Linked DNA regions of Oryctolagus cuniculus. The protein of the gene in region 4 purifies or fractionates together with the protein of the main gene of each other region. This does not show direct contact. Links are inferred from orthologs where the notes say so. Each region holds a gene or a part of one and is shown on either strand. Other genes may lie near its edges. The genes, in order: DAXX, MTA1, HDAC2, DNMT1, EZH2, SIRT1 and PARP1.

Region 1 (4,188 bases), on a different chromosome or scaffold from region 4:
CATCATTGCGTATTTGGAGATGACCTCGTCTAGGCGGCTCAAGGCCAAGGTCCGGTTTTCCCGAAGGCGCCGGGCCAAGGCAGGATCTGACAGTGCAGGGTCAATGCCTACATGGGAAGATATGACAGCAGAGCACTCAGCCCACACCCTGGCAGAGAGGGCGAGCGGTCCCCTCTGCCTCCGACGGGCACCCCGCTAACCCGCTACCTGGCCTGTAGTCATCCGTGAGGTGGCAGCCGAAGTTGTAGATGAGGTCGAGATGGCGTCGCTCCTGTAGCCTGACGCCCACATCTCGGAAGGCGTCCTGGGCCATGAGCTGGAGCTGCTGGCGCGGGAGGCCGAGGCTGTGCCGGACAGCTGCCTTCTCTACGGCCCGCAGCACATCACCGTAGTCGGGGAAGGTGTCGGGGCCTGGCTTGTTGATGAGCCGCTCGATGCGCCTGTTGACCTCTGGGTAGCGGGTGCCGCGGTAGGGGATGCGCTGCTCTATGACCCGGCCGGTCAGCGAAGAGCAGTCTTTCAGCTCGCACAGTCGCCCAAAGAGGCGGATCAGCTTCCGCTTCAAGCGCGACTCCTGCAGGTACGTGGAGTCTGGGTCATCCAGTTCTGACAGATCCAGCTCCTTCTCCTGCAGCCTCCGGATCTCCGCCACGTACAGTGCCAGCAGCTGCTCTAGGCGCTGGATCTGCCGGCGGGAGCCACGGGTCCTTGGGGCCTCGGAGACAGCGGCCTCAGCATTGCCGGGCTCCGAGGCCGGGTCTGCAGAAGTATTACTCCCAGAGGGCTCACTGGAGGCGGTGGCAGCAGGAGCGAAGTTCAGCTTCTTCTTGGCTGAGTGGGCCTTGAGAACGGTGCAGAGCTCGTTGATGTAGACGTAGAGCTTGGCGGGCCGGCTCCGGGCCCGGGACAGGACCCGAGAGAGGATGTTGCAGAACTCGGCTGAGGCCAAAAACACAGAGTGGGCACGCTGCTGCCGACTGGAGAGGAACGGGACCACCTCAGGGTGGTCCGCTGTCTGCGTCTTACACAGTTCAAGGAACTGGAGGGTTCGGGGGAAGAAGAGAGCGGACAAGAGACAAGGGAGGGGGTTGAGAGAGAGAAGGGGGGGTGCAGTTAGTGGGGGAGAGAGGACCAGAGAGCCAGTGCGCCATCCCCCTCCCTGGGGTATAAGAATCTTCTCCCCTAAAGCTCACCTCTTCAAACAGCTTCTCATTCTCCAACTTGTAGCATTTCTTGCCGCCAGAACTACTGCTTCCTCCGGCCCCATGGGGCTCAGAGGAGCCAGGGGCTTCTGCCTGGGGTGAGGCCGGAGTGGGGGGTGGGTGGGAGGGCCCTGGCTGAGCGACTGCTTCATCTTCGTCATCATCATCCAGCACAATGATGCTGTTAGCGGTGGCCATGAGGGATCAAATCCCCCGGAGGGAGGAAGTGTTGGGGGTTTCAGAATTCCTGCTGGAAGGGGATGGGGCCTCAGAAAGAGCCCCTCCAGCATAGCCCCTCCCTTCAGCTCAGTTTCCAATCTCCGTGGGTTTCAGCAACACCCAGCCCTGCCCAACAGTGTCCTCACTGCCTGTCTTCTGCAACCATTAGCTCTGGATGCCTTCCCGGGCCCTTCAAGTGGCCCAGGACAGGGAACCGCAAACATTCAATCGCCACACCCAGCTCTACCTCTCACATTGGCTTCCGGTCTTTCTGTTCCATCTCCCCACTATTTCTCATAGTTGTCAAGTTGGTTCTTCCAACCCCAGTCCCGCTTCCCAGATTCCCATGACACCCTCACACACGGAAAACACACTCGCTCTGGCTGCCTCACGTCTGGCCCCTTTCACCCCGAAACATGTCAAACCCATACCCCACCCTTAATGATCACCCCAACTCCTAGACAATCCAACAGTCCTCTCAACGATCCATTCTCCTTTCCCCTCCTGCTATTAACTCCGTATTTCACCCTCTGATGGGCTTCTTCAAACCAGGGCACTGGGTTGGAGTATGACACCTCAAGAGCCCTCCCTCTCACCCCACCCTGATTTTACCTGGTCGCTCTCTGTGACTTGTAACCGATCGTGAGACCTACAGTGGGCTCTCCCGATTCTTCTCGGATCCCACCCTTGAGTCGCGCCGGCAGGGTAGATGAGCTTCCCGCCAAGTCCCCCTCCCCCAGGTCAGACCCCTAGCCGCCCCACTTCCCTTCAGGAATAAGGTACCAGAGCATGCCTCTCAGACTCAGAGCCCGCGTCTCCCCAGTACCGCCTCCTCGATATCCCCTCCCCCGTTTTCGCTCCCCACACAGTCCGGCCCGCACCTCAGAAACGGTCTCACGAGACGACCCTCGCCGCTGATCTCAGAACCTCGCATGGTTCCCTCCGCCTTCCTTCCCCCTCCCACCGCAGGCCCCACTACAGACCGGAAGCCGCGGAGTTTCCGCCTACACGCGTATAAGCGCGGCCATATTGTCGTACGGAGCCCAGCCTTCCTGCTTCCGGAAGGCCCCACCGAGCGTGCCTAGTACCGCCCACCTAGCCCGCGACTCCCTTCCCCCTGACCTGTAGGGGGCGGGGCCTGCCCCTTCAGGGCGTCCCGAAGTTGCTGGGGGCCGCCATTTTGTTGTACGGCCCCAGCTCTGCAGTGACTTGGGCCCTCAGCCGGCGGAGCTATTTTCACCTGGTGCTTCTGGGACTCCGCCAATCAGAAACTTCCTGCCTCGAGCCCAACCGCCAGCTAGTCGCGTGCCGAGACCACTGAGCCACCTTTCCCAGGGGTGGGAGGGGGGCAGTGGAATAGGCTGGCTGAAGAACTGGGGTCGCCAAGGCTGTGCATGGCTTCAGGAAAGGGCAGGCGTGTCTAAACGGGGAAATAAAACCTTTTCCTTCCGCTGGGCAATTAGTGAGGCTTCCGGTCCTGCTTTCCTATCTCCCAGGTACCGGTTTCCACCGCTTAATGGGCTTTGCGCCCCTCGCCGCTGCCCGGCCGCCGCTTCCACTTCCAGGTGCTACGTCCCCGGCCGGGAAATGTCGACGCATGCGTACAAACGAGCACCGCGCTCCCTGAAGGTGGTGGTGGTGGTATTACTATCGCTACGTTGTTGTTGACTGGCTTTCCGAGCTCCGCCTCAGAACTAATCAGCGTCCAAGCCGGCGGGACCCGAGCGGCGCTGCGCTGTTCTCCGAGTGGGGCCTGGACGCTGCGGCGGCATCGGCCCCTCGAGGCTCTGTCGTGGGGTCCGGGGGCTGGGGGGAGCAGCTGGGCGATGGCCCCCGCGCGTGCGGGGAGACGCGGTGGTCTCCTGCTCCTCAGGGAGAGCCGAGGACAGAGTGAGGAAGGAGCCGGAGGAGACGCCTCGCGTGGGGGAGGCCGGGCCGCGTCCCGAGGCGCGCTTGCGGGGACAGCGCGAAGCCCACGCGCGGGTGGTGGCCTCCTGCCTCAGGCCCGCGGCCTTGCATCCCTGACGCTTCCTTTGAGAATCCCTGTCACTTCTCGCCAGTCGTCCAGGCCTACAGCCTTCAAATTGAGCAACAAAACTCGCCAAGACCACTGGGTCTTGACAAAGAGGATTTAAGTTTCAGATCCTCAGCTTTCCCAAAATTGGGCTCCCAGAGCGAGCGCCTGCGGTAGAGGTTCTCCCTCTTCCTTCCCCTTCACAATGGACTTTCTCCATCTTATAATAATTCACAGCCGTGAAGTTGCCTGGGTCTCTTACCTGGCTGAAGTCAAAAGACACGTGGTCTATTTCAGCGATGCACCATGAACACAATCTTCTAGCTTATTAAAAATTCGTAATGCAAAAATTTGCACAATCTTTGTGCTGCTTGATAAATTCGTTTTTCATAATTGTAACGATAAATATTTTTAACAAAGAGTCAAAATCGCAAGAAAGACTTTTTTATTTAAAAAAATGTTTTTTATTTGACAGGTAGAGTTAGAGACAGAGAGAAAGGTCTTCCTTACGTTGGTTCACCCCCCAAATGGCCACTACGGCTGGCGCTGTGCCGATCCGAAGCCAGGAGCCAGGTGCTTCCTCCTGGTCTCCCATGCGGGTGCAGGGCCCAGGCACTTGGGCCATCCTCCACTGCCTTCCCGGGCCACAGCAGAGAGCTGTACTGGAAGAGGAGCAACCGGGACTAGAACCCGGCGCCCATATGGGATGCCGGCGCCGCAGGTGGAGGATTAACCAAGTGAGCCACGGCGCCG
Region 2 (4,126 bases), on a different chromosome or scaffold from region 4:
CCAGCCCCAGCAAGAGCTCAGGACACCTGAGCCACATTCCCCTCTTGGGGGGACGCCTGCGGGCCGTGCTCCCTGGCTGTCCACAGCCCCTCGTTCACCCACGCTGTGCTGTGGTCAACACAGGGCGGACGGCAGCAGAACCGAGACCCTCAGCACAACGCCGGCTCCAGGAATCTCATCTCTGCAAGAGAGCATGTGGCCCCGGCCAGGGGTCAGCCAGATGCAGGCCCTCTGCAGAGCCCAGTCAGGGACAGAAAGCAGAGTGGGTCAGGGGCCGCGACCCGCACTCACAGGCTGCTAAGCAGCTTTCAGGGGGGGCAGCACCATGTCCTTCCCCGGCCAGCTCATCCCCGCAGCAGCTGTGGCACAGCCTGGCACCAGGAGGTGCAGAGCTGGGCCTTCGGGCCTGGGGGATGGGCTGTGACCCCCACGCCCCTGTCCAGCTCTGCCTTATTGCCACTAGGAAGACAAGGCGAGGGGCAGCGGGACACGAGGAGGAACACCCTCCAGAGAAGGCACACTGGGTGCCAGGGTCCCCAGAACAGTCCTTCCTCACCTGCTGGGCTCGGAGTATGACGTCCAGCGGCCACGGCCACGGCCAGAGACTGCTTCCTAGACCATTCGCTCCAATTGCTTTTGTTATTAACCCAAGAGCTCAGCGGCCAAATGTTTCTCTTAAAACAATAAGACAGCCCCAAAGCAGGCACAGAGGCCCCCTGCTGCTGGGGGTAGGGGCGCCCAGACGGAGGCTGGCAGCTGTCCCCCCGGACAGACCCCCAGGTCCGCCCGTGCCCCTCGGCCCACGTCCCAGGTCCCCACTGTGGACGGCAGACTCCGCGTCTCGCTGCCAGGGAGGAGGGCCAGCAGCTTCCAGAGGCCGCCCCTGTGCAGGGGGCGGGGCGACCACAGCCACACAGGGGACGGTCTCTGTCCCAGGCGGGGTCTCCATCCTGGGGAACGCCTTACTTGACCAAAGAGCGTCCATGGAAAAATAAACACCAGGGCTACAACAAAAGAAGTCCACGCACCAGCAGGAGGCAGGGTGCAAAAGCAGGGCCCAACGCGGCCTCACGCCCCTGCAGCTCCGGGCCCTGTCCCCTTCTGCAAGCACAGGACATCAGGACCGAGCGAAAGCTGCCCAGGGTGGGGGAACAGAGAACAGAACCCCAAACTGCAGGAGCGGTGGGTACAGCGGCCGGGACACACGCCAATCACACTGGCAGAAGACTGCCCAGAGGTCCAGGAACCCTGACCCCGGCCAGGGCCCCTGTCCAAGGCCAGGCCTCTCTGCCTAGGCAGCTGGCACAAAACCTGGCCGTGGCACCTGCAGCCCCCCAGCTAAGACACAGGACTCCGGGCAATGTGATGTCAGCTAGAACTTTCTAGCGCACGTATGTCCCACGCACTGAGACCCCAGTTCTGCGCTCTGAAAGGCCCATGGGCCTGGCCTTTCCCAGGAGGCTGGGCCAGGACAAGACCACAGGAACAGGCCCCGCCCAGGGCCGGTCCCTCACTGGCCACTCCCCCAGGCCACGGCAGGACGAGAGGCCCGCTGTCAGAGGGGCAGCGCCTTCCTGTCCCCCACCTGGGGGCTCAGGCAATGCTGAGCCGAGATGCCAACAGCCGTCCACCATGGGCACACGGCATGTGCGGCTCCGTGTAGATGGCATGGGGCCCACCTCTGGGGTTCCTGGGGCCACGACCCCAATTCTGCCTCAGGCTCTGCAACCCCAGCCACAGACAGGAAGTAGAAGCTGGCTCCACCCGGCACCGTGGGCTCCAGATCCAAGCCACCCCGCCCTCAAGGCACCCAGGTGGGCCCTGGGGAGCTGCTGCAGGGCACAGGGAAACTGAGGCACGCTGTGCAGGGGCCACCACGACAGGGTCCAGCCTGGACTGGGGGGGCAGAGGGAGAAGCTCCCCAGGCACATCCCAGGCAGGAGGTGTCCCGCCTGCTGGGCTGGGGGCCTGGGCAGGGGTCCTTCCCTCCAGAGCCCACCCCCCCACCCCCCGCATGGCATGGCCACCAAAGCTGGGAGGTGCCATTCTGCTCCCTCACTCGTCCCTCCACTGGGGCTGGGAGTCACCAGCCAGGAGCTCCCTGGGGCAGCAGCGTGGGCCAGGGAGGTGGACGAAGGGCCCCTGTCCCCCAGCATCTTGGCAGGGAGTGTGGACTGCCTGTGTCCACCCAGGGCCCCGCGGGCAAAGGTGTGAGCTGGTCACTGCCCACCCCGAACACCAGAGGGCCCCGGGCACACCGGGCCCAGGCTGCAGGGCTGGCCTGGCTGGACCACGCTCAACCCAGACTCCATGTCCGGCTCAGGCCTCGGTGGAGAAGGGGGGGTGCAGACAGGATCGGGGGGTACTTCCACAGCTATGCCTGCCCTGCGGGGTCACTCCGCGGTGGGAAGGGCGGCTCACGACGGGGGGGCGCCACCCCGGGCTGGGAAGGGCCTACCTGAGGCACAACGCGGGACCCCACGCAGCCGCCCGCGCCCGCACACGCACACGCAAACTGGGGCGAGGCCCGGGCCCAAGGAGAACCGGCCGCCCCCCGCCCAGGCCTCACCCGGCGCTGCCTCGCTGGGCTGGGGTGAGCAGGAGGCAGCGAAAAGTTTGGGGTGACTTGGAGGCTACTGGGGATGAGGGTCCCCGCTGACGAGCCCCCATCCCCAGCGCGGCCCCCACGGGACGGCCCCAGGCCCAGCTGCAGGAGCGGCTCGCGGGGAGGCCGCCCCCAAGCCCCGGAGAAACCCGGCTCCGCGGCGCTGGCGCCCCGGCGCCCCCACAGCCCAACGCCCCCGAACTCCCGCGGCGGCGCGCGCCAGCCCGGCCACGTGCTCCGCTCGGGGGCTCCCGCCAGGCCGGGCCCCGGAGGAGGCCCCCGCGCCGGCGAGGGCCGCGCACGGCTCCCGGCCCGCACCCCGCAGCCGCCCCCGGCCCAACAGGTGGGCCAGCCCCCGCCGCCCGGGCAGCTCGCCCACCCCCGCCCACCGGCCCGGCCGGGCCGGCCCGGGGCCATTTTGGGTCGGGGCGGCCGGGGCGGGGGCCGCGCGGAGGGGTGCGGCGGGGCGGGGGCGGCCGAGGCCGCGCCGCGGGGGCGGGTGGGGGAGGGGCGGCGCGCCGCGGGGCCGGGGCGGGGGCGCGGGCCGGGCCCGGGGGGCGGCGGGGCCGCGCCGCGGCGCATAAAGGCGGCGCCGGGCCTTACCTCCGACCCTGTACATGTTGGCGGCCATGTCCGGGCCGGCGGCGGCGGCGGGGCCGCGGGCGGGCGCGGCGCGCGGCGCGGGCGGCCGGAAAATGGAGGCTGGGGCGGGGGCGGCGCGGGCCGGGGCGGGCGGTTTAAAGGGGCCGCGCTGCTGCCGCTGCCGCCGCCGCCGCCGCCGCCGCCGCCGAGGCCGCCGAGGCCGCGCAGGGACGGGAGGGCCGCGGCGCGGGCGGGAGAGGAAGGGGAGGAGCGGCCGCACGGGGAGGGGCCTCGGGCGCCGCCGCCCACCGCGCGGGCCGTTACCCGACCCCGCGCCGCCGCGGCCGCGCGCCTGCCCGGCGGAGCTCGCCCCCGCGCCCCGGCCGGAGCCTCCCGCCGCGCCTGCCCCGGCGGGGTCTACACCCCCAGCACCCCCGGGGACGACTGCCGGCCTGCCCCGAAGCTCGGGGGTTCAGGTCTGGCCTGGAGGCGGCCGCCCCGCGGGGCCCAGCCTTTGGCGCCAGTGCTGAGCCTTCTGTGTCCCCGACGCTCAGCGGGCAGCCCCCGCGGGCAGCCCCGGACTCGGCGGCCGGGTCTCGCCCGGGGTGCAGGCCGCTCCCTGCGCTCTGCGGGGCCAAGCGGGCGCCGCACCGGGGCTTCCCGCAACGCCCGGCGCAACGTGACTGCGTGCCCCGCGCTCGGGGAAGGCCTGAGGGTCGCACGGCCCGGGCTGCGGTGGGAGGGAGACGAGGTCCGGCCTGGGGGGCGCGATGGGGAGCTGACGCTTGGAGGGAGGCTGGGGCCCCGGGGCTGGTGTAGTCAGGGCCGTTGGGGTGGGAGTCCTGGAGAGGCGGCCAGCGGGCCTGGAGTTGAGTTGCTGGGTGGGACCCGGGGTGCTTCCTTCACGGCTGGCCGAAGAGCTGCCTGGGTGGGGGGAGC
Region 3 (3,500 bases), on a different chromosome or scaffold from region 4:
ATAACACTAAAATACAGAAATAAGCGCACCATGAGGCCGGCGCCGCGGCTCACTAGGCTAATCCTCCGCCTTGAGGCGCCGGCACACAGGGTTCTAGTCCTGGGCAGTCAGGGCACCAGATTCTGTCCCAGTTGCCCCTCTTCTAGGCCAGCTCTCTGCTGTGGCCAGGGAGTGCAGTGGAGGATGGCCCAAGTGCTTGGGCCCTGCACCCCATGGGAAACCAGGAGAAGCACCTGGCTCCTGGCTTCAGATCAGTGCGGTGAGCCGGCCACAGCACGCTGGCTGCAGCGCGCTGGCCACAGTGGCCATTGGAGGGTGAACCAACGGCAAAGGAAGACCTTTCTCTCTGTCTCTCTTTCTCACTGTCCACTCTGCCTGTCAAAAACAAAACAAAACAAAACAAAACAAAACACCATGAAAACCATGAGCGCACATTTAAAGAAAGAGTTTCAAACTGATTTATTATCTAATTACAATATGCAGTAATTCTATGTAGTTTTTAAAAGCAAGCTACTTAACAGATGAGTAGTAAACCAATGACAAAAACCAATGAGTAAGATGGCACAAGTCTCATGCATTAAGACAGACTGAAATTTAGAATATCTCAGACAATGTTCTCAGATTTAGTTAAGTACTTCTCAGTACAGATACCAATAAAGAAACACACCCCAAGGAAATATATTTTTTAATATATAACAATTAATTGATAAGGAATATCATTTACCCTTTGGTATCTGTTTTTTCACCACTGCTATCCTTGGATTTATCTTCTTCCTTAACATCTAGAAACAAAGATTAGGAAAAGATCAAAATCTATTTTGAAATATAATTCAGTATATAAGTTTTATTTCAGGTATTATACTAAATGGTAGATGTTTAAGCTTTAACCTAACAGTCACTGCCCTTTTTGAGCCTTATCACAGCGAGGATAGGGACTTCAAAGGAAAATGCAGCACTGTGGCAGGTGAGGAACGGCTACCACAGATGTGACATCTGAAGCTGTCCTGATGAATGTAGTTTTGGTAGATAAAAAGGGAAGAGAAACATCTTGAATAGACGAAGAAAAAAACTCCAAAGTTTTAAGGACTCTGAGCTAAGAAGAAATTGGCAGGATGGAAGGAGAAACCCTACTGCGGCTAGAGCACTATGAGAAATGGAGAGTAGATGACACAACCAGAGGCTGCTGCCACCTTTAGTTTTGTTTTCTTCTTTTTTTAAGATTTACTTATTTATGTATTTGAAAGGCATAGAGAGAGGCAGAGATATCTTCCACCTGTTGCTAGTTTGCTCCCCAAATTCCCACAACAGCTAGGGATGGGCCAGGCCATAGACAGGTATCAGGAACTCTCTCATGTGGGTGGCAGGGATCATCACCTGACAGTCATCTGCTGTCATCCTATGCAACTCGGCAGGAAGCTAGAATAAGCAACAGCAGTCAGAAGTCAAATCTGGCACTCAGACACAGGATGCAGGCATCCCCAGCAGCAGCTTAACCCACTGCGACAGTGTCTGCCTCATACCTTTATTTTCTAACCCTCACTAAATAAATACTGAAAAGTTTAAAACTTTTCAACAGAAGTTAACACTACAATCTGAAGACTGCAAAAGCAATTTTTTTTAAAGTTTTTAAATATTCTTAAGTATTCTACACATTGCAAGAGTCTAGTCCTATAATATGAACACCCATGTTGACAATATGGATTTTATGGCATTTGTTGTTTAATTTTGGCTATGTGAACTCAAAGTGCCAAAACAGGATGGGAGAGGGAAACATGAAAAAGAAATGGCTCTATGGCCTCGACCCATAGTTTTTTCCTAAAAGTTTTCTTTTTTCTATAGGCTGAGAAATTTTAAGAATCACGAAGCCTGATGACCAAAGAACAGAATTAGAAGTATCAGCTTTGATATGGATTCCTAACACTAGAGAAGAGAAAGAGCCAGTTTACTGGACTACTACTATCTCTGCTTTCATATCAAAACAGGTCAACTAAGATTTTTGCTCATCACTGTTACTTGCATAAAGAAACATACCAAGTGCTGAAAACAGGTATTTAAGATGCTGTATTCCCTAGCCAGCTGGCATGGAGACATATAAATACAGACAAACGATCACAGATTCTGGTGGCAAATTCAATTGCCTAGAGCTGACAATCTTCAAAGATAGAAAGGTAATAGAAAGCAGTATATTTTTAATCTTTTCTGAGAGCTTTGTGTTTTCCTCAATTTCTGAACAAAGTCTATTATCTGGCCTTATTAAAAATGATAAAACTAGTATTAAGTAAAGGTTGATTTCATCTACATAAACTTTAGGTAGTTAAAAATTATCTTAGAATTTCAGCTCTCTCGTAGACTACAGATTTATAACTTACCCTCTCTCTTAACTCTAACTATTTAAGCCTTTATCATCAAGAGAATAAGGTTTCCTATATTATAAAATCAAATGTAAGTAGGAACTTGCAAAGATTTCAATCAAAGATATTTAAAAGCCAAACTTTATATGGAGGAAAAAATAGCATTTACCTAGCATACTCACCTCTCTGTAATACTTACAGTAGATGACTTCAGGAAATTTTTATATTTCAATGTAGTTCTCAATTAAAAAAATTTTTAAATCAGAACACATTCACCAAAAAATTAAATCTGACCTGCTTTTTTGTCCTCTGTTTCTTTCTTGTCTTCTTCAATTCTTGCTTTCTTTGCTCCTTTTTTATGATCAGATACATTCCTACGACCTCCTTCTCCTTCATCTTCAGAATCTGAGAATTCTTCATCACAAGCTATCCGCTTGTCTGATGCTCGAACTGTTAACGTAAGATTTTAACAAGCTTTGAGGAAAAGTCACAAGCTTTAAAATCATTACAGCACACTCATGCAAATGTACTCATCAGTTACCACATTTCAAAGTATAGGATAACAGATGCTTAATAATTTTAAGATTGGAACAAAATGAATGGTTTGCTCTAATACCGAAAACTTAGCTGTGGTTTATAAAACAGTTAAAGAGACATTTGGGGATCTTTTGATTTTCTAAAAGGTAAAAGTTTGGAGGAAAAAAGTATGCTTCTCTTAGAGCAAGTGGGAATAACATCTTTATACCTAAAAGGTGGCCTTTTACTTCAGGGTTCTGAGGAAAAGGAGACAAAATAAAAAATAGTACCATTAATGTGAAATACAATCTCTGTACCATTATGATATAAATCTATAATCATATTAAGTGTAATCAAAGACTATAAAATCAAACAGCAAGTGCTTACTATTTTACACATTCTAATTTGAGCAAATGGCATGTTTTCCCAATTTATTCCTGAATATACATAAGTGGATAGTTTTTGGAAATTTTATATCTTACATGTATAGTTATTTAAACTGAAATTGTACATGCAAATTAGACTATGAAGCACCACAAAGACAAATATGCATAAGATTAAAAATGGAAAAAGCAGGGGCCGGCACTGTGGCGCAGAGGGTTAACGCCCTGGACTGAAGCACCAGCATCCCAT
Region 4 (3,500 bases):
TTTGTGGTGGTGGCCTTCGTGGGCCCCTTGTCCTTCTCCTTGGCGGAATGCCTGATGGTCTGCCGCCGCTCCGCCCGCCTGTGGGGACAGGGGGCCCCTGTCTCAGCAGACCAGGAGGCGGCGCAGGCCGCTGGGCTCCGGCACCGTCCTGCCGGGTCTCACCTTTGCCCCAGGGTGACCCCGGCCAGCTTGATCAGGTCTCGCATGCAGGGGGTCAGGAAGATGGGCTGCTCGTCGCTGTCCTTGGCGTCGTCGTAGCTCTCCACCTGTCCCACCACAAACTGGGCGTGGCGGAGCAGAGAATCCTCCGTGAAGCGGTTCAGGTTCAGCGAGGAAGGGGGAACGGTGGTCTGGAAGGAAGGACAGACAGCGGGAGTTTCCCGACTGCTTAGGCCAGGCTGTGCCGCGGCGGCGAGGCTGCGCGTCCGGGGCCCGAGCGCCCCACCTCGATCTTGTTGATGAGGTCCTCGTAGGTGGAGTCGGGATTGCTCTGCAGGAACTCGACCACGATCTTGCTGATGTAGATCTTCTCCTGCATCAGCCCGAAGATGGGCGCGTAGTCGGGGCTGGGGTCCATGAGGATGTACTCGGCGAACGCTGCGGGGAGGCGGAGGCGCCGGTTTGCTCCACGTGGGCGAGGCTCCCATCACCGTGGCGAGTGTTTCTGTCCACTGACGCTCACGGTTGCAGAGAGCACTGAGCCCAGCCCCGCCCACGGCGGCCACACACTTACAGGTGCTGAAGCCGATGAGGGCCTTCTCCCCGCCATCGAAGCCCGTGATCCACCACTCGTTGATGGGGCCAAGGTTCTTGCCATTGACACCGCCTAGAAGCAAGAGCAGGGAAGTTTCCCAAAAGGCCATGAATCAGGTGCCACAAGGGAGCGGGCGCTTGGGCGCTGGGCCTAGTGGCCGAGACACTGCTTAGGGTGACCACGCACGCATCAGGGTGTCTGGCCCCTTCCCAGCTCTGGCTCCTGACTCCAGCTTCCTGCCAGTGCAGACCCTGCAGGGCAGGTGATGGCTCAGGCCACTGGGCCACTGCCACCCATGTCGCAGACTGCCATCGAGTTCAACTCTGCTTCAGCTCCCTGGTCGCTGAGGGTACTGGGGAACGTGCTAGCGGTTGGGAGATCTGTCTCTGCCTCTTAGACACACTAGAGGACAAAACCAAACCCAGGAGGCAGTACGCCCAGCTCCCTTGACATTTCTTCCAAGTGATTGTACAAACAGCTGCTCATGGCAGTCTCCGGCCCGCCTTCTAAAGGGCACAGCTTTTCTCGTGTCGCTTCTTGTCAAAGTATCTGCCCCAAGCCGCCCCGGAACACCCCCGCACCTTCCTGCGACGGGTTGTCCTCGTAGATCGGCTTCGCTGAACCCGAGAAGCAGAGCTCCACGTTCTTCTCGATGAGGCCGGTGTCGATGGGGCACAGGTGGCCGTGCTTACAGTACACGCTACAGGGGACGGAGAGCGCGCTCAGCAGCCAGCGGGGTGGGCGGGCGCAGGGCAGGGGGGGGAGCAGGGGCGAGTCCAAGACCCCGCTACCTTTCAGGCTGCGGGGTACCAGGTTAGCTCTGGGTCCGCCACTCACTCCGTCTCTACCTGGCCTCCCTCCTGCACGCCCAGAGTACGCGTGAACCTCACGGCTGGGCGTCCGGGGCAGTGCTTGGGACGCCCACACTGGAGAGCCTGGGGTTCCAGCTTCCCCAACGCACTCCCTGGGAGCCGCAGGCGATGGGCCCAGTACTCGGGTCCCGGCCACCCACGCGGGAAACGTGGATAAAGTTCTGGGCTCCTGGCTCTAGCCCGACCCAGCCCCTGGCTGTTGTGAACAGCTGGGGAGTAGACAAATGGATTGAAGAACTTTGTCCTAAGTGCAATGAGAAACTTAAGATGTACGTCTGAAGGGGACAAAGGGACCAGTGACAAGGCAGCTGCTTCCACAGCTGCTCGCTCCGTCCCGCGGCCCTCGCCTCTCCCCAGCTCCAGACGGCATCACCTGAAATAAGCCCCAAAGCCATCACAGTCGCCCCTCACCACTCAGCCCCCGCCCACCTGCTCACTTATGAATCTGCGCGGTCAGGACACTTCAGATCTGAGTGGCACCTGAAAATGTTACTGACACCCGCCCTAGAGCAGGCTGCAGGACAACTTGCAGAGGTGGGGGGGGGGGCACAGCAAGGAGGGGTTTCTGCCTCCTCTTGGGGGCACGGCCTCCCAAGTCAGGGGACCCCACAGTGTCCCTGCTCTGATGCGCCAACACGTGGGAGCAGATTCTTTATCAAGAACAGAAACACGAGCAGACCAGGGACCTGGGCAGGGGGGCTCTGCTCAGGCCAGCCTCAAGGGCCATTCTTGTCCAGAGGTGCCTGGCTACCCGAGTCCCCACATAGGGCCTGGGCAGGTCTCAAGAGGGTACCCCTGACTCACAGCGCAGCCCCCAAGCCCATGGTGTTCACCCTCAAAGATCACCAAGTTTCTCAAAATGCATGCCTCCCGCCGAGCTCCCCTTGTACGTATTGGGGGGCACAGACAGGTCGCAGGCTGGCCCTCAGGAGGTAGGGTCCAGTGGGAAAGACGGACAGACAGCCTGCGCTGGGGGAGGCCTGGAGAGGAGGTGTCAGGCTCTCTGAGGAGAGATGTGGGAGAAGCTCTGAGTCGCCACAGGCCACACCCTACGTGCTGCCACCAGCCATCAGGGCCAAGTGCAGAGGTACCTAGAGACCCTAGGCAACCCAGCGGTCTGGCTCCTGAGCCTCACGCTGCAAGGCCTGGGACACCCCGCCCTGCGGGAACGCACCCACAGCACACCCTGGTTCACGAAGAACCGAGGCGCCCGCGCCAGGTGCGGCCCTGGCCCCACTCCTGCTCCGAGCCTGCTGTCCCGAGGGTGCCGCAGGGAGGCTGGCGGGCCCGGCCATCTGCTCTGCACCACAGGGTGGGCCAGGGGTCAGAGGTCCATGGCCCCACACTGGGATGGCCGTGGACATGTGAGTAGACCTGGACACCAGTGGTGGCTGTGGGACAGGACAGACACAACCAACCACCCAGATGTGCAGGGTGCAGCCGCACACAGAGGGCTCATCCCAGTGGTCATGGGAACCCCAGCTTGGGTGAGGCATGTGTCAGGAAGGCGACCCAGGAGTGCTGCCAACAGGTACACCTGGGGGAACCCCAGCTCTGTCTCTTCCCCAGGACAAGGAGGCAGGGCTGCTCCCGGCCCTAAGCAGCAGAGGAAGCCTGGGAAGCAAACAGACCTGGGGACATGGGAGAGCCCGGGCCTCAGCCCACGAGCAGGGGCAAGGGTGCAGCTTGGACGCCACAGGCCAGCCCTCAAATGCCAGTCAGCGTGCCTTAGCCTAAGGCCGTGTGACCCAGGCCCGCCCATCCCACCTGCGCTGGAATGTTCCTACCACACACCTCTGGTCAGCACAGGCCCACCCTGAGCCCCTGCCACCGTGGGGGGCCCTGGCCACGGTGACCCCTATACCACTGAGCCT
Region 5 (3,500 bases), on a different chromosome or scaffold from region 4:
AGCAGTATAAGGTGGTCCCAGTCCTTGGGCCCCTGCATCCACGTGGGAGACCCGGAAGAAGCTCCTGACTCCTGGCTTCAGATGAGCCCAGCTCTGGCCGTTGGAGCCATTTGGTAAGTAAACCAGTGGATGGAAGACATCTCTCTCTCTCTCTCTCTCTCTCTCTGAATCTGCCTCTCTGTAACTCTGCCTTTCAAATAAATAAATCTTCTTTAAAAAAAAAGAAAAAAGAAAAAGCAGGGACACAAAACCCAAAAGGCAAAGCAATGTAAGGCCATTTAGGGCAGGGTCAAAAGCTTCTAGAAGTATTACTATGCCATAAACAGGCACCCTAAAACATAATATGGAAAAAGTTGAACTATATTATGTAAACTCTGAAAATTAGGAAGTATGAAATATATTCTCAAAATATATACCTCAAAAGTAGTTGATGCTTTTAAAAATGTACTTAAAAATAAGGTCCAGTTAACTGGAAAATTACTAAGAAACTTCATTTCCTAAAAATATCAGGGAAAAAAAGTATTATTGGATGTACCATAATTCATTAAGAATATTTTATGCTTTGCTAGTATACAAAACACGGGTATTTAAAAAGCAACTTACTGGGCCGGCGCTGTGGTACAGCAGGTTAACGCCCTGGCCTGAAGGGTTGGCATCCCATATGGGACCGGTTTTAAGACCTGGCCACTCCACTTCTGATCCAGCTTTCTGCTATGACCTGGGAAAGCAGTACAAGATGGCCCAAGTCCTTGGGCCCCTGCACCCACATGGGAGACCTGGAGGAGGCTCCTGGCTCCAGATCGGTGCAGCTCCGGCCATTGCGGCCAGTTGGGGAGTAAACCATTGGATGGAAGACCTCTCTCTCTGCCTCTCCTCTCTCCTCTCCTCTGTGTAACTCTGACTTTGAAATAAATAAATCTTTTTTAAAAAAAAAAGAAAAGCAACTTACCCAGAGGACCAAAAAAAAAAAAAAAAATTCAACACTAAGTAGACAAGAACTAATATAGCATTTTTTTAGCCAATTTCTTTAAAACAGAAGTCTGAATTAAATGTGTATAAAACAATCCTCAAGCAACAACATAAAAATAACAATACTGAGTTCATAACATTTTTTAATCTTAACTGTAAGATTCAGTAGAAAATTCTAGTTGTATTAAATAACATTATTTGAGTTGCTTTAAAACATAATTCCACAACAAGAGATGGAAAATGAAAACGTACAATAATTGCACTTACGATGTAGGAAGCAGTCATATTTAAAACATCGCCTACAGAAAAGCGTATGAAATGAATGTAAGCTTTGCTCCCTCTGAACAGATTTAGCATTTGGTCCATCTATATTGGGAGTACATTCAGGAGGAAGTGCACCTGGGAGCTGCTGCTCGGTGAGTTCTTTGTATCTGACAGTAACCAAGAAAAATTTAAGTAAATATAAAAGAAAAATCACTTTTTCAAAATAAAGTTTCTAAAAGGTTTCCATGTATTATTTTAATGTTTATCTTGCCTAAAACAAAAAGGAATATATCTAACATAAATCAATCTTTATAGACAAAGAAGCAATTAGATATCAAGAATCAAATTCAATGAAATGATTCAGGTATATCATGAAAAAGGATATTAGTTTTAATTAATCATCAATGTTACTGAACTTTCTGCTAGTATCCAGAGAAATTTTCCTCTAAATAGACTGCTATAAATTTTACATGTATATATAGTGTATATATAAAGGTATTTATTCAACTATAATGTTTTATAGTGTAGAATACCACAGATAAATATATTGCTTCAAACATCTTGCCCACACTATAAACAAGCAAGTGCTATATTTGTTGCATTTGTAAATAAACGAAAAGGAGAATTTCCACAGCACACAAAGTGAGACTATCTCAGAAAAGCAAATCTTACTTTTCCTTTAGTTCTTCTGCTGTGCCCTTATCTGGAAACATTGAGGAAATGGCTTCAAAAATTTTATCAGAAGGAAATTTCCGAGGTGGGTGGATTTCTTTATCTGATTAGGGAAATATGAAAGGGGGAAAACATGAAGTCAACAAGTTTTCAATCTTTCATTTTCTATACATAACTGTATCTCTATAACATAGCTGATTTTCTAAGAAATCATGAACTTTTTGTTTCACTAACATATTTTATGTGTATTTATGGAATGCGCATATGTCAAACACAAAATTCAAATACAAAAAGTTTTCAGAGTTCTGGAAGGGGCCAGTGCTATGGCATAGCAGGTAAAGTCGCCACCTGCAGTGCCAGCATCCCATATGGGCATGGTAACAGTCCCAGCTGCTCCACTTCCGATCCAGCTCTCTGCTATGGCCTGGGAAAGCAGAAGACAGCCCTAGTCCTTGGGCCCCTGCACCCACGTGGGAGACCCGGAAGAAGCTCCTGGCTCCGGATCGGCACAGCTCCAGCCGTTACGGCCATCTGGGGAGCGAACCAGCGGATGGAAGATCTCTCTCTCTCTCTCTCTCTCTGCCTCTTCTCTTTCTCTGTGTAACTTTGATTTTCAAGCAAAATAAATAAATCTTAAAAAAAAAAAAAAGGGTTTTTAAAGATTTATTTATTCATTTGAAAGTCAGAGTTACAGAGAGAGGAGAGGTCTTCCATTCCCTGGTTCATTCCCCCACTGGCCGCAATGGCCAGAGCTGCGCTGATCCAAAGCCAGGAACCAGGAGCCTCCTCTGGGTCTCCCATGTGGGTAAAGGGGCCCAAGGACTTAGGCCATCTTCCACTGCTTTTCCAGGCCATAAGAGAGAGCTGGATTGGAAAAGGAGCAGCTGGGACTAGAACCGGCACCCATATGGGATGCCAGCACTTCAGGCCAGGGCATTAACCTGCTGAGCCACAGCACCGGCCCCTAGGTTTTAATGCCAATCATGCTACTAACTAATTTTGTCACTGGGCCTGACTGCTTACTTAACTACTTCGGTCTGTCTCCTCACCTGTAAAACAAAGAGTTTAAACTAGATCATCACTAAGGTATCCCTTTATTATAAAAAAAAAAATCTATGCATCTTTGCAATTTTTCCCCAAAGAATTCTATGCTGCTTTAATATGATCCATGCCAAGCAGAAAATACCAACCACAGACTGTCTTGGGACAGACTACTTTTTGGAGAGTCGCAGCTGACTCGGGAAGAAAGGCATAAGTCTAAAGTCACATATATTTTGGTTATCATCATGGAGTTCAAGGCTCCATTTCTCCCCAGTAGTGTGATCTTATGGATCTAATAATATCCACCTTATGGAGTCTTTATTAGGATTAAGATGGTGCATATGACAGATCACAAAAGAGTGCTCTCTGGGTAAGGCGGACAAAAATCTAGGCCCCCGCAGCGGCTATATATACTTTTTGGGGGTTCACCTCACATAATGGCGCCTTGTGAGATCAGAGCAAGAAATGGACCAATGGGAGCTGCAGTTCATCCACAGTGGTTTTCTCGAGAATCTTCCAATAAAATTAAAACGATACCAAAAAAAAAAAAAAAA
Region 6 (3,997 bases), on a different chromosome or scaffold from region 4:
CGGATCGGCACAGCTCCAGTTGTTGCAGCTATCTGGGGAGTAAACCAGCGGATGGAAGACCTCTCTCCGTCTCTGTGTAACTCCGACTTTCAAGTAAGTAAATAAGTCTTAAAAAAAAAAAAAAAAAGAAAATGCATTGTGTGTTTTATTTAATTTTTAAAAAATTATGTTCTTTATTTAAAAAGGTGGAGTGAGAGCACAAGAGAGCAAGAAAGCGGATGTGAGTGACAGCTCCCCTCTGCCGTTTCAGTCCCCAAACAGCCACAATAGCTGGGCTGGGCCACGCAGAAGCCAGGAGTCAAGAACTCAATCCAAGTCTTTTACAGGGGTAGTAGGAACCCAGCCACTGGAACCACTATCCACCAACTCCAACACTGTCCATTACCAAGAAGCTGGAATCAGTAGCAAAGCAGGACTTCAAAGTAGGCACTCAGATATAGGATCCAGGAGACCCAACTAGCATATTAACCTCTATGCTTACCCCTTTATTTTTCTTTAAAAAAAATAGCAAAAAAGATTTTGAATGATTTCACAATAACAAGATGATGTATGAGACAGGGATGTTTACTCTAATTTAGATGTTACACAATCTATAATGTGTCAAAACATCAAATGGTACCCCATAAATACGTACAATTTTTGTACTTAAGAGCACTAGATTTTTCTTAGAAATATAAGTTGTTATTAAATCTCTCCATGTACCTAAAAACTTCAATCTATTAAAGGGACAGAGGGAAAATGGGGGGAGGGGCACAGCTCTGAACCATACCTATCCGTGGCCTTGGAGTCCAGTCACTAGAGCTTGCATGTGAGGCTCTGTCGTCGTCATCGCTTTCACATGAGTGAAAGCCATTAGTGATAATTTCATCACCGAACAAGAGATTATCTGCAAAAGAAATCAACATTAAGGCTGCTGACAGCCTGCATCTGAAATGCAAGAAGACTCATCAGTGGTCACAAAGCAACCATTTTTAATGACTAAAGCATTTAACATACATCCCGCATGTGTAAAGGTGGTCAACATTCACAAGAGCAGTTCTCTGATCCTCAAGAGATCCTTTGCAGAATTCAAAGCTTCAGTCTATCAAAAATCTGAGTCTACTTTTTAAAAAGTCAAAACAGAATAAGAGGTAGTCTCTATAGACTGAGCTTAGCAATCATACAAGCAAAGGAGTACATGCAAGTTGTCAAAATTTACCCACCAACGTTGTGAAAACCAAGGCTGCCTGCACTCTGGGCTTTTATATACTACTAAACATACTTAGCTATTTCTGCATTATCTGTTTCTCCCATTTATTGTGCTTCTAAATACTATGATGGTTCCTTAGTTCAGCAGACTGAATCACAAAGAAATTTAATATTTGCCAAATTTACCTGAAGGAGGAAGGAATTTTGTTTCTTGAAATCAGGAGCTGCTTCACCTGTGCAGTCCCTGATGTATACACTACACATTTTTTTTTTTCCATGTGGCTACTAAATGCTCCACTGGCTAGTTCCGACACAGTACTGACAGACACAGAAACTTCTCAAGTCAAACTATGAAACCCTCAAGGACAAGACATGTACTTCAGTATGTCAAAAACATGTCAACCTGCTTCAGGATCACATATATACAGAAGAATCCCATTTAGCTTAAAACCACTTCAGAACACGACTCAACCACAATATTAATATAAAGCACTCTGAAAGTACTTCATTATGCGATCCCCACTAAACGCATCACAAAAGACTGCTTTAGAAACTATGCTTTTAAAGTTTTCAGGTTAAGACCTCAGAAAGCCGCTTTGCTCTTTCCAAATTTATAACTACAAGTTTAAAAGTACAGATCGTCAAATAAATAAATAAATGGCACAGGTGTCAGTTTGCACGGGCAACTGCGAAAGGTCGACCAACGGGACGGCCGAAAGTTGCAGACTTTAAGTGTGCTGGTGAAGGAGGAGGAGAGCAAAGTAAGTTCAACGAAAGCAATACTAGAAGAGAGAAAACTTATTTGTAAAGCCAAGGGAGACAGCGTCCACACCCGGCGGCTGCGTCGAACGCCGCAAGGCCGCCGAGAGGGGCCGCGGACCGAGGGAAGACAAGGAGCAAGTCCGCGCGCAGCTCCCCACCGCACGGCCGGCAGCCCGGGAGCAGCGCGGCTGAACGGAGGGCCGCCATGGGGAGAGGATCCCGCGAGCCAGCCCGGAACCCCCGGCCCGCCCTAGAGACCCCCCCCCCAACCGGACACTAGGAGGGGCCCCGAGAGGAGGAGGAGGGGGATGCGCAGTCCCGGCCGCCCGCGCCCTGCGCACCTCTGTACCCAATCCCCGCCGCCGCCTCTTCCTCCTCTTCGCCCTCGTCGTCGTCGTCTTCGTCTTCGCAGAAATCGTCGGCCGGCGGCGGCTCCCGGGGTAGGCCCTGCAGGCCAGGCCCATTGTCTCCTCCGGCCGCTACCATAGCCTGGGCCTCTCGCTCCCCGCCCGTCGCCGTCGCCGCCTCCGCCTCCCGCCACAGCGCCGCCGCCACAGCCGGGCAGCTCCCGGCCGCCGCCGCCGCCGCCGCCGGCACCTCACGCTCGGGGGCCGGCCCGCCGGACTCGCCCGGGCTCCACCCGAGGCCAGGGCCGTCTCTCCGCGGCCTCTTGCGGAGCGGCTCTCCAGCAGGCGGCGAAGCGGCCTCCCTCTCGGCCGCCGCAGCCGACGGGGAGCCGCCAGGCTGAAGGGCGAGCGCCGCCTCGTCCGCCATCTTCCAACTGCCTCTCTGGCCCTCCTTCCTCGCCTCCTCTGCTCCCGCTCGACGCGCGGCACTGGCGCCCCCGCGGCTCCGGCTGCGGGAGATTTAAACCCCGTCACGTGACCTGCCTCCGCCCCCGCCCCCGCCCTCCCGCCGCTCCCGCCACCCACGCGGGCCGAACCACAACACGGCCGGTCACGTGGCGGGCGGAGGCCCGGGCGTCTCCCTCTCTGCTCGGGCGGGGAGGAAACGCGGCTCGGGCGGCCTGAGGCCCCTCCCCTCAGTGGCGGGCGTGTCTTGCACGCTCGCTCGGCGGCCGCTTTTGAACTTCTGTTTGGAAGCGTCCTGAACTCAGGACCGTCCGGAAGGCACACGTTTTGGTTCACGGAGTTTCCACTTCTGCCTCCAGCGCACACCTTCCCTGCCTAGCCCTGTCTGCATTTTTAGCTAAGGGTTAAAGTTGGGCTCCTGAGAGGCGATGAGGACTGAAGCTTCGCTCCTTGAAATAACGCTGGGTAGCCGTTGGGCTTTTGTCAGTGGGGAGGAAAGAACAAGGCGCTCTGCCGCCCCCGCGCCATTCTGACAGCCCTTCTTCAGCTCCTTTGCTTGGCCCTCCCCTTCAGTGATTGGCTCTTGTGCCCTGTCGCCCTCACTTGTGGGGCGAGATTGTCAGATCCTCACAGGCGTGTGTCCCCGTCCTAGGTCCTTTGACCTGGGAACTTGGGAGTCAGCCTATCAGCTTTCGGTCCGTAACTTGTACTCAAATGTGTGTGCGTTCCTACCTGTGGGCCCCGGTGTTCTCAGGTGTAGTGATTGCATTGGGTCAAGTCGGGCAGTCGAGAACAAGGCTCGGCCACTCCCCATCTCTGGGTTTGCTTTAAATTTGGGATTCTTGTATACCGAGCAAGTTAGCCTTTTCTAAATCCAATTTTTTCTCATAATACCTATTTTGCAGGGTTATGAAAATTAAATAAGCTAGCTATATTTAAAAGGTACATAGTAGTTCAAAAACCAGAGTTGCTTCCCCACTGGAAACTCCACCACTTTCCACTTGCCCTGGAAAATTGTTACTTTACAGCCATAACTAAGGACCTATGCTTTGCGTGGCATCTGCCTGCAGCATTTCTAGTCACTTAAAGAACTTCTCAGCGTTCATAGCACACCATTCCTTAAACTGACTATGGGTCCTGGATATATTGCACCGATACCTGCATGACCTTAGGCAAGCAACTCAAGCTCTGTTGCTTTAGCTTCAAAAAGAACCAAGAAGGCTGGAAACTCATTT
Region 7 (3,500 bases), on a different chromosome or scaffold from region 4:
GTGTTGGGCTTCCACCAGATGTATGGACCCAGCCACTTGAGGCCTTACCTACTGTTTCCTAGAGTGTGCACAGGCAGGCAGGAAACTCAAACCCAGGCACTGACATGGGATGAAGGGTCTCAAGCAGTGACTTAACTGCTGCCCCCACCCCATCCTTGAATCATTCTCAAGAATGAACAGGCCTTCCTGGGGCCTCAGGTGCCCAATCTACGACCAGAAGGGCCCCAGGACCACACACATCATTACCTCTAAGTCAGAGTAACTCTTTTCCTTTTTTTACTGAACTTACAACAAAATCCCTCAACAGCAAATGGCACAGTTCACTCTCTGTCCCAGGAGATTTACAAAGGGACTTATTCTAGATGGTCACTCAATAAAAGTCAAATGCACAAAGCTCTGGGAAAGACCACAGTTCCTATGCTAAGACTTCATCCAATCAATACACAGGCCTTTCCGACGATGCCACAGTCAATGAATGCCAGTTGGATTAAAGGCTAACAAAGAGCCTCCAACATACACTGACCACCTAATACTGCCACACATCACAGGCAGGTTCAGAAGACGGTTTCTGCCCTTGAGGAGGCTCAGTCTCGACCACGTCAGATATACGATGGTAAGCCAAGTTCTAAACTTGGAGCCAAGTTCTAAACTGGAGGTGAGCTAAGGTGACAGGAAAGTGGGAATGCTGGGAGGGCACTCACAGGCCAGTGACCTGCTGAGTCTATTAGGAGCTGGAAAAGCAGGCAAGTGTCTGCTTACTACAGGAACCTAGATGGCCTACGGGGAACCCTAGGGAGCTGTCCATGGCTGGGAGTGTAAAGAGCCAAGGAGTACGGCGGGGAGAGCGATAAGGGAGGAAAAGGCGGCGGCAGGAGAGGCTGCAGAAGGCCCAGAGTCAGATCATGGAGAGATCCTGGTTCTGTCACCACAGGGACACAAGCTGGGGGCAACAATCACCGCCTGGGTCTGGGCCCGTGAATCCACACAGGCAGCAAGTGCCACCAGACTGCAGAGGTGTCATGCACCCGCACACACTCTCAGATGCGCTACTGTGGGCACATGGACTATAAACAGTCCACGCTGCTAACTGTCATCTGATTTGCTCCTTGAGAGATAGTAAACACCACACAATGGGTCTGTAAGATGCTGAAGGAAGGGAGGTGACAAGCTCAGACCTGCTCTAGCATGGACACCCAAGTGCCGAGGGGACTGGCTCAAATGTCCTCCCCGCATGGGAACACAGCAGGTGCAGCGAGCAAAGGGAGAACCGGGACCTTGCCCCAGCTCCTGCCGGCCTGAGGGCACAGGGCAGGAGCTTATCCAGCCACCAACTCTCCAACTGAGGGGTCTGCGCCCACTAAATTCCACTTGTGGTCCCTCGTATAGAGGGCACTCAGTACCTAGTGATACATGAACTCTGGACCTAACTCTCCCTCCGGCACTAAGGCAAGGAAATGCTTGTCATAAAAGCAGGAATTACTACTATCTGTTCACCATATGTCCCTCACAGTAACAGCGCACAATGGGCCCCAATAAATCAAGTAATTCATGGTCCTCACAAGCAATTGGACAAACCTTGACTCCACACTTCAGAGACGCTTTGTTTCCATATTTGTACAGTCTGCAAACATATGGAACCCATAAAATTTTATGTTCTGATCATGAGAATGGCCCAGTTGTGACAAAGTCTGCCACTGCAGTCTTGGTGACAAGCCCCACCAACAGATCCCAGAACCATCCCTCCCTGCAACAGACCCCTTACCTTTGGGGTCACCCATTCCTTCCGGTTGGGTGTCTGTGTCTTGACCATACACTTGGTCCAGGCAGTGACGTCCCCGGTACAGTAGTAAGCATCGCTCTTGAAGACCAGCTGGCCCGAGCACTCCTCGCAGGGAAGGAGGGCACCGAACACCATGCCATCAGCTACCCGGTCCAAGATCTGAAGCCAGCAATGAAATGGTCAGAGGGGAAAGGAGGCACTCCAGAGAAGACGCTGTGCAATGTGGCATGGAGAACTTGCACAGACCTCCTTCACTGCAACAGAGGCTTGCCTGGGGCTCTTGAACTTGCCCCCTGGGCAGCTGGTTTGCTAGGGGGCTTGGGTTCTTGGGTTTTCAGAGACCCATCTCTAAGTGAAGTGTTCCTTCACCTTCCCCATCCCTCAGATTGGGAAATACAGGGAGAGCCCAGAGCATGCCCTGGTCCTGCACAAGGTACCAAGGCAACCTCAACTCCAGAGGAGGAGGGCAGGGAAGAAGCAGCTGGGGAAATGCTGGGACCCTGGCATACCACCTTGCAGAAGGGTCTCTTTCCCTCCACAAGCCTTGCAGCCCCAGGGAGTTTGGGCAGAAGGCAGCTGAGAGTGCTACTCAGGCCAAAGTATGTGGTATGACCATTCAAGGCAAACATGGCCCACTCTAGCCCCCAGCAGAATTCCACAGCAAGTGTCAACATGAGAAATGTCTGGTAGGGCCTGTCCCAACTGCCCCTGGGGAAATGGTGACCACAATGGCAGTGATGACTGTACAACATGACCACCGAGGTTTTACTCCTCGCAGCTAATACCAGTAGGTGTTCAAACGGAGGGCCTCGCATATTCCATTAGGACAGTCGGCCTCACAGGCGTGTCCCGCTCTAACACTAAGGCCGCTCACCGCCGACTCCCCGGAAGGCACTTGCTGCTTGTTGAAGATGAGCAGCTCTTTCAGGTCATTGGTCGAACATACTTTCTTTAGTTCATCCTTGATGTTCCAGATCAGGTCGTTCTGGGCCTAGGGACAAGACCCAGCAGCTGAGTGAGAGGCCTCTCTTTTCAACTGAAGGAAGAGTATACCCCTGGACATGCCTGGCCTCAAGCACACACCAGAGGATTAGCTGAACTGACTCTCCCGAAAAGACGGTCTGAGCAGTAGATTTTAAGTCCTTGCCATGCTCCAGCAGGTCTCAAATTGAATATGAAGCATGGGCTCTCAAAGAGTTGTGCAAGGTGGGGAAGAAACCATTAACAAGTGTGGGGAAGGACGTAACAAAGTCACCAAAGCCCCTGGAATGCATCCCTCAGAAACCAAGCCCACAAGACACACAGGGGCCTGTAAGTGCTAAATGGCCCACATGTGTCGACCACCAATAGCCAGAGGCCAAAGGAGGTAGGGTGTGCCTGTTCTCTGTCAATCTTTTCTTATTTGAAAGGCAGAGACAGATAGACAGACACACACAAAGGATATCTACAGAGAGCCTCCATTAGCTGGTTTATTTCCCAAATGCTACCACCAGCTGGGACTGGGTCACACCAAAATAAGACTCCATCTGGGTCTCTCACATGGCTGGAAGGAACCCAAGTATGTGAGCCTAACCTGCTGCCTCCCAGGGTGCACATTAGCAGGAAGCTGGAACTGGGAGCAGAGCCAGGGCTAGAACCCAGGCACTCCAATATGGCATGTGGGTAGCCCAGGTGGTGTCTTAACTGCTTTACCAAATGTCTGCCCCTCTACCAATTTGAC

Evidence for each region.
Region 1: the proteins of DNMT1 (region 4) and DAXX purify together in Homo sapiens (affinity purification with western blotting; 4 studies listed by BioGRID, with this or other methods). This does not show direct contact. The link is inferred for Oryctolagus cuniculus from reciprocal best matches to the Homo sapiens genes DNMT1 and DAXX.
Region 2: the proteins of DNMT1 (region 4) and MTA1 purify together in Homo sapiens (affinity purification with western blotting; 4 studies listed by BioGRID and IntAct, with this or other methods). This does not show direct contact. The link is inferred for Oryctolagus cuniculus from reciprocal best matches to the Homo sapiens genes DNMT1 and MTA1.
Region 3: the proteins of DNMT1 (region 4) and HDAC2 purify together in Homo sapiens (affinity purification with western blotting; 3 studies listed by BioGRID). This does not show direct contact. The link is inferred for Oryctolagus cuniculus from reciprocal best matches to the Homo sapiens genes DNMT1 and HDAC2.
Region 5: the proteins of DNMT1 (region 4) and EZH2 purify together in Homo sapiens (affinity purification with western blotting; 6 studies listed by BioGRID and IntAct, with this or other methods). This does not show direct contact. The link is inferred for Oryctolagus cuniculus from reciprocal best matches to the Homo sapiens genes DNMT1 and EZH2.
Region 6: the proteins of DNMT1 (region 4) and SIRT1 purify together in Homo sapiens (affinity purification with western blotting; 3 studies listed by BioGRID and IntAct, with this or other methods). This does not show direct contact. The link is inferred for Oryctolagus cuniculus from reciprocal best matches to the Homo sapiens genes DNMT1 and SIRT1.
Region 7: the proteins of DNMT1 (region 4) and PARP1 purify together in Homo sapiens (affinity purification with western blotting; 4 studies listed by BioGRID and IntAct, with this or other methods). This does not show direct contact. The link is inferred for Oryctolagus cuniculus from reciprocal best matches to the Homo sapiens genes DNMT1 and PARP1.

Annotation. Positions count from the first base shown.
Region 1 is NC_091436.1:135,802,970-135,807,157, reverse strand, and holds the start of DAXX (death domain-associated protein 6), read right to left. Parts: upstream 2,801-4,188; 5' UTR 2,662-2,800; exon of another isoform or gene 2,544-2,661; intron 2,437-2,543; exon of another isoform or gene 2,303-2,436; intron 2,171-2,302; exon of another isoform or gene 2,034-2,170; intron 1,453-2,033; 5' UTR 1,401-1,452; coding exon 1,194-1,400; intron 1,040-1,193; coding exon 208-1,039; intron 108-207; coding exon 1-107. UniProt on the Homo sapiens protein: Transcription corepressor known to repress transcriptional potential of several sumoylated transcription factors. Down-regulates basal and activated transcription.
Region 2 is NC_091451.1:47,274,681-47,278,806, reverse strand, and holds the start of MTA1 (metastasis-associated protein MTA1), read right to left. Parts: upstream 2,801-4,126; 5' UTR 2,671-2,800; coding exon 2,570-2,670; intron 613-2,569; coding exon 557-612; intron 1-556. UniProt on the Homo sapiens protein: Transcriptional coregulator which can act as both a transcriptional corepressor and coactivator. Acts as a component of the histone deacetylase NuRD complex which participates in the remodeling of chromatin.
Region 3 is NC_091436.1:57,442,399-57,445,898, reverse strand, and holds part of HDAC2 (histone deacetylase 2), read right to left. Parts: intron 2,802-3,500; coding exon 2,646-2,801; intron 783-2,645; coding exon 725-782; intron 1-724. UniProt on the Homo sapiens protein: Histone deacetylase that catalyzes the deacetylation of lysine residues on the N-terminal part of the core histones (H2A, H2B, H3 and H4).
Region 4 is NC_091447.1:67,170,686-67,174,185, reverse strand, and holds part of DNMT1 (DNA (cytosine-5)-methyltransferase 1), read right to left. Parts: intron 1,455-3,500; coding exon 1,336-1,454; intron 827-1,335; coding exon 734-826; intron 598-733; coding exon 446-597; intron 351-445; coding exon 163-350; intron 79-162; coding exon 1-78. UniProt on the Homo sapiens protein: Methylates CpG residues. Preferentially methylates hemimethylated DNA. Associates with DNA replication sites in S phase maintaining the methylation pattern in the newly synthesized strand, that is essential for epigenetic inheritance.
Region 5 is NC_091434.1:174,746,348-174,749,847, reverse strand, and holds part of EZH2 (histone-lysine N-methyltransferase EZH2), read right to left. Parts: intron 2,009-3,500; coding exon 1,906-2,008; intron 1,401-1,905; coding exon 1,222-1,400; intron 1-1,221. UniProt on the Homo sapiens protein: Polycomb group (PcG) protein. Catalytic subunit of the PRC2/EED-EZH2 complex, which methylates 'Lys-9' (H3K9me) and 'Lys-27' (H3K27me) of histone H3, leading to transcriptional repression of the affected target gene.
Region 6 is NC_091446.1:59,833,015-59,837,011, reverse strand, and holds the start of SIRT1 (NAD-dependent protein deacetylase sirtuin-1), read right to left. Parts: upstream 2,801-3,997; 5' UTR 2,725-2,800; coding exon 2,292-2,724; intron 1,377-2,291; exon of another isoform or gene 1,309-1,376; intron 887-1,308; coding exon 770-886; intron 1-769. UniProt on the Homo sapiens protein: NAD-dependent protein deacetylase that links transcriptional regulation directly to intracellular energetics and participates in the coordination of several separated cellular functions such as cell cycle, response to DNA damage, metabolism, apoptosis and autophagy.
Region 7 is NC_091444.1:39,042,332-39,045,831, reverse strand, and holds part of PARP1 (poly [ADP-ribose] polymerase 1), read right to left. Parts: intron 2,772-3,500; coding exon 2,655-2,771; intron 1,940-2,654; coding exon 1,763-1,939; intron 1-1,762. UniProt on the Homo sapiens protein: Poly-ADP-ribosyltransferase that mediates poly-ADP-ribosylation of proteins and plays a key role in DNA repair.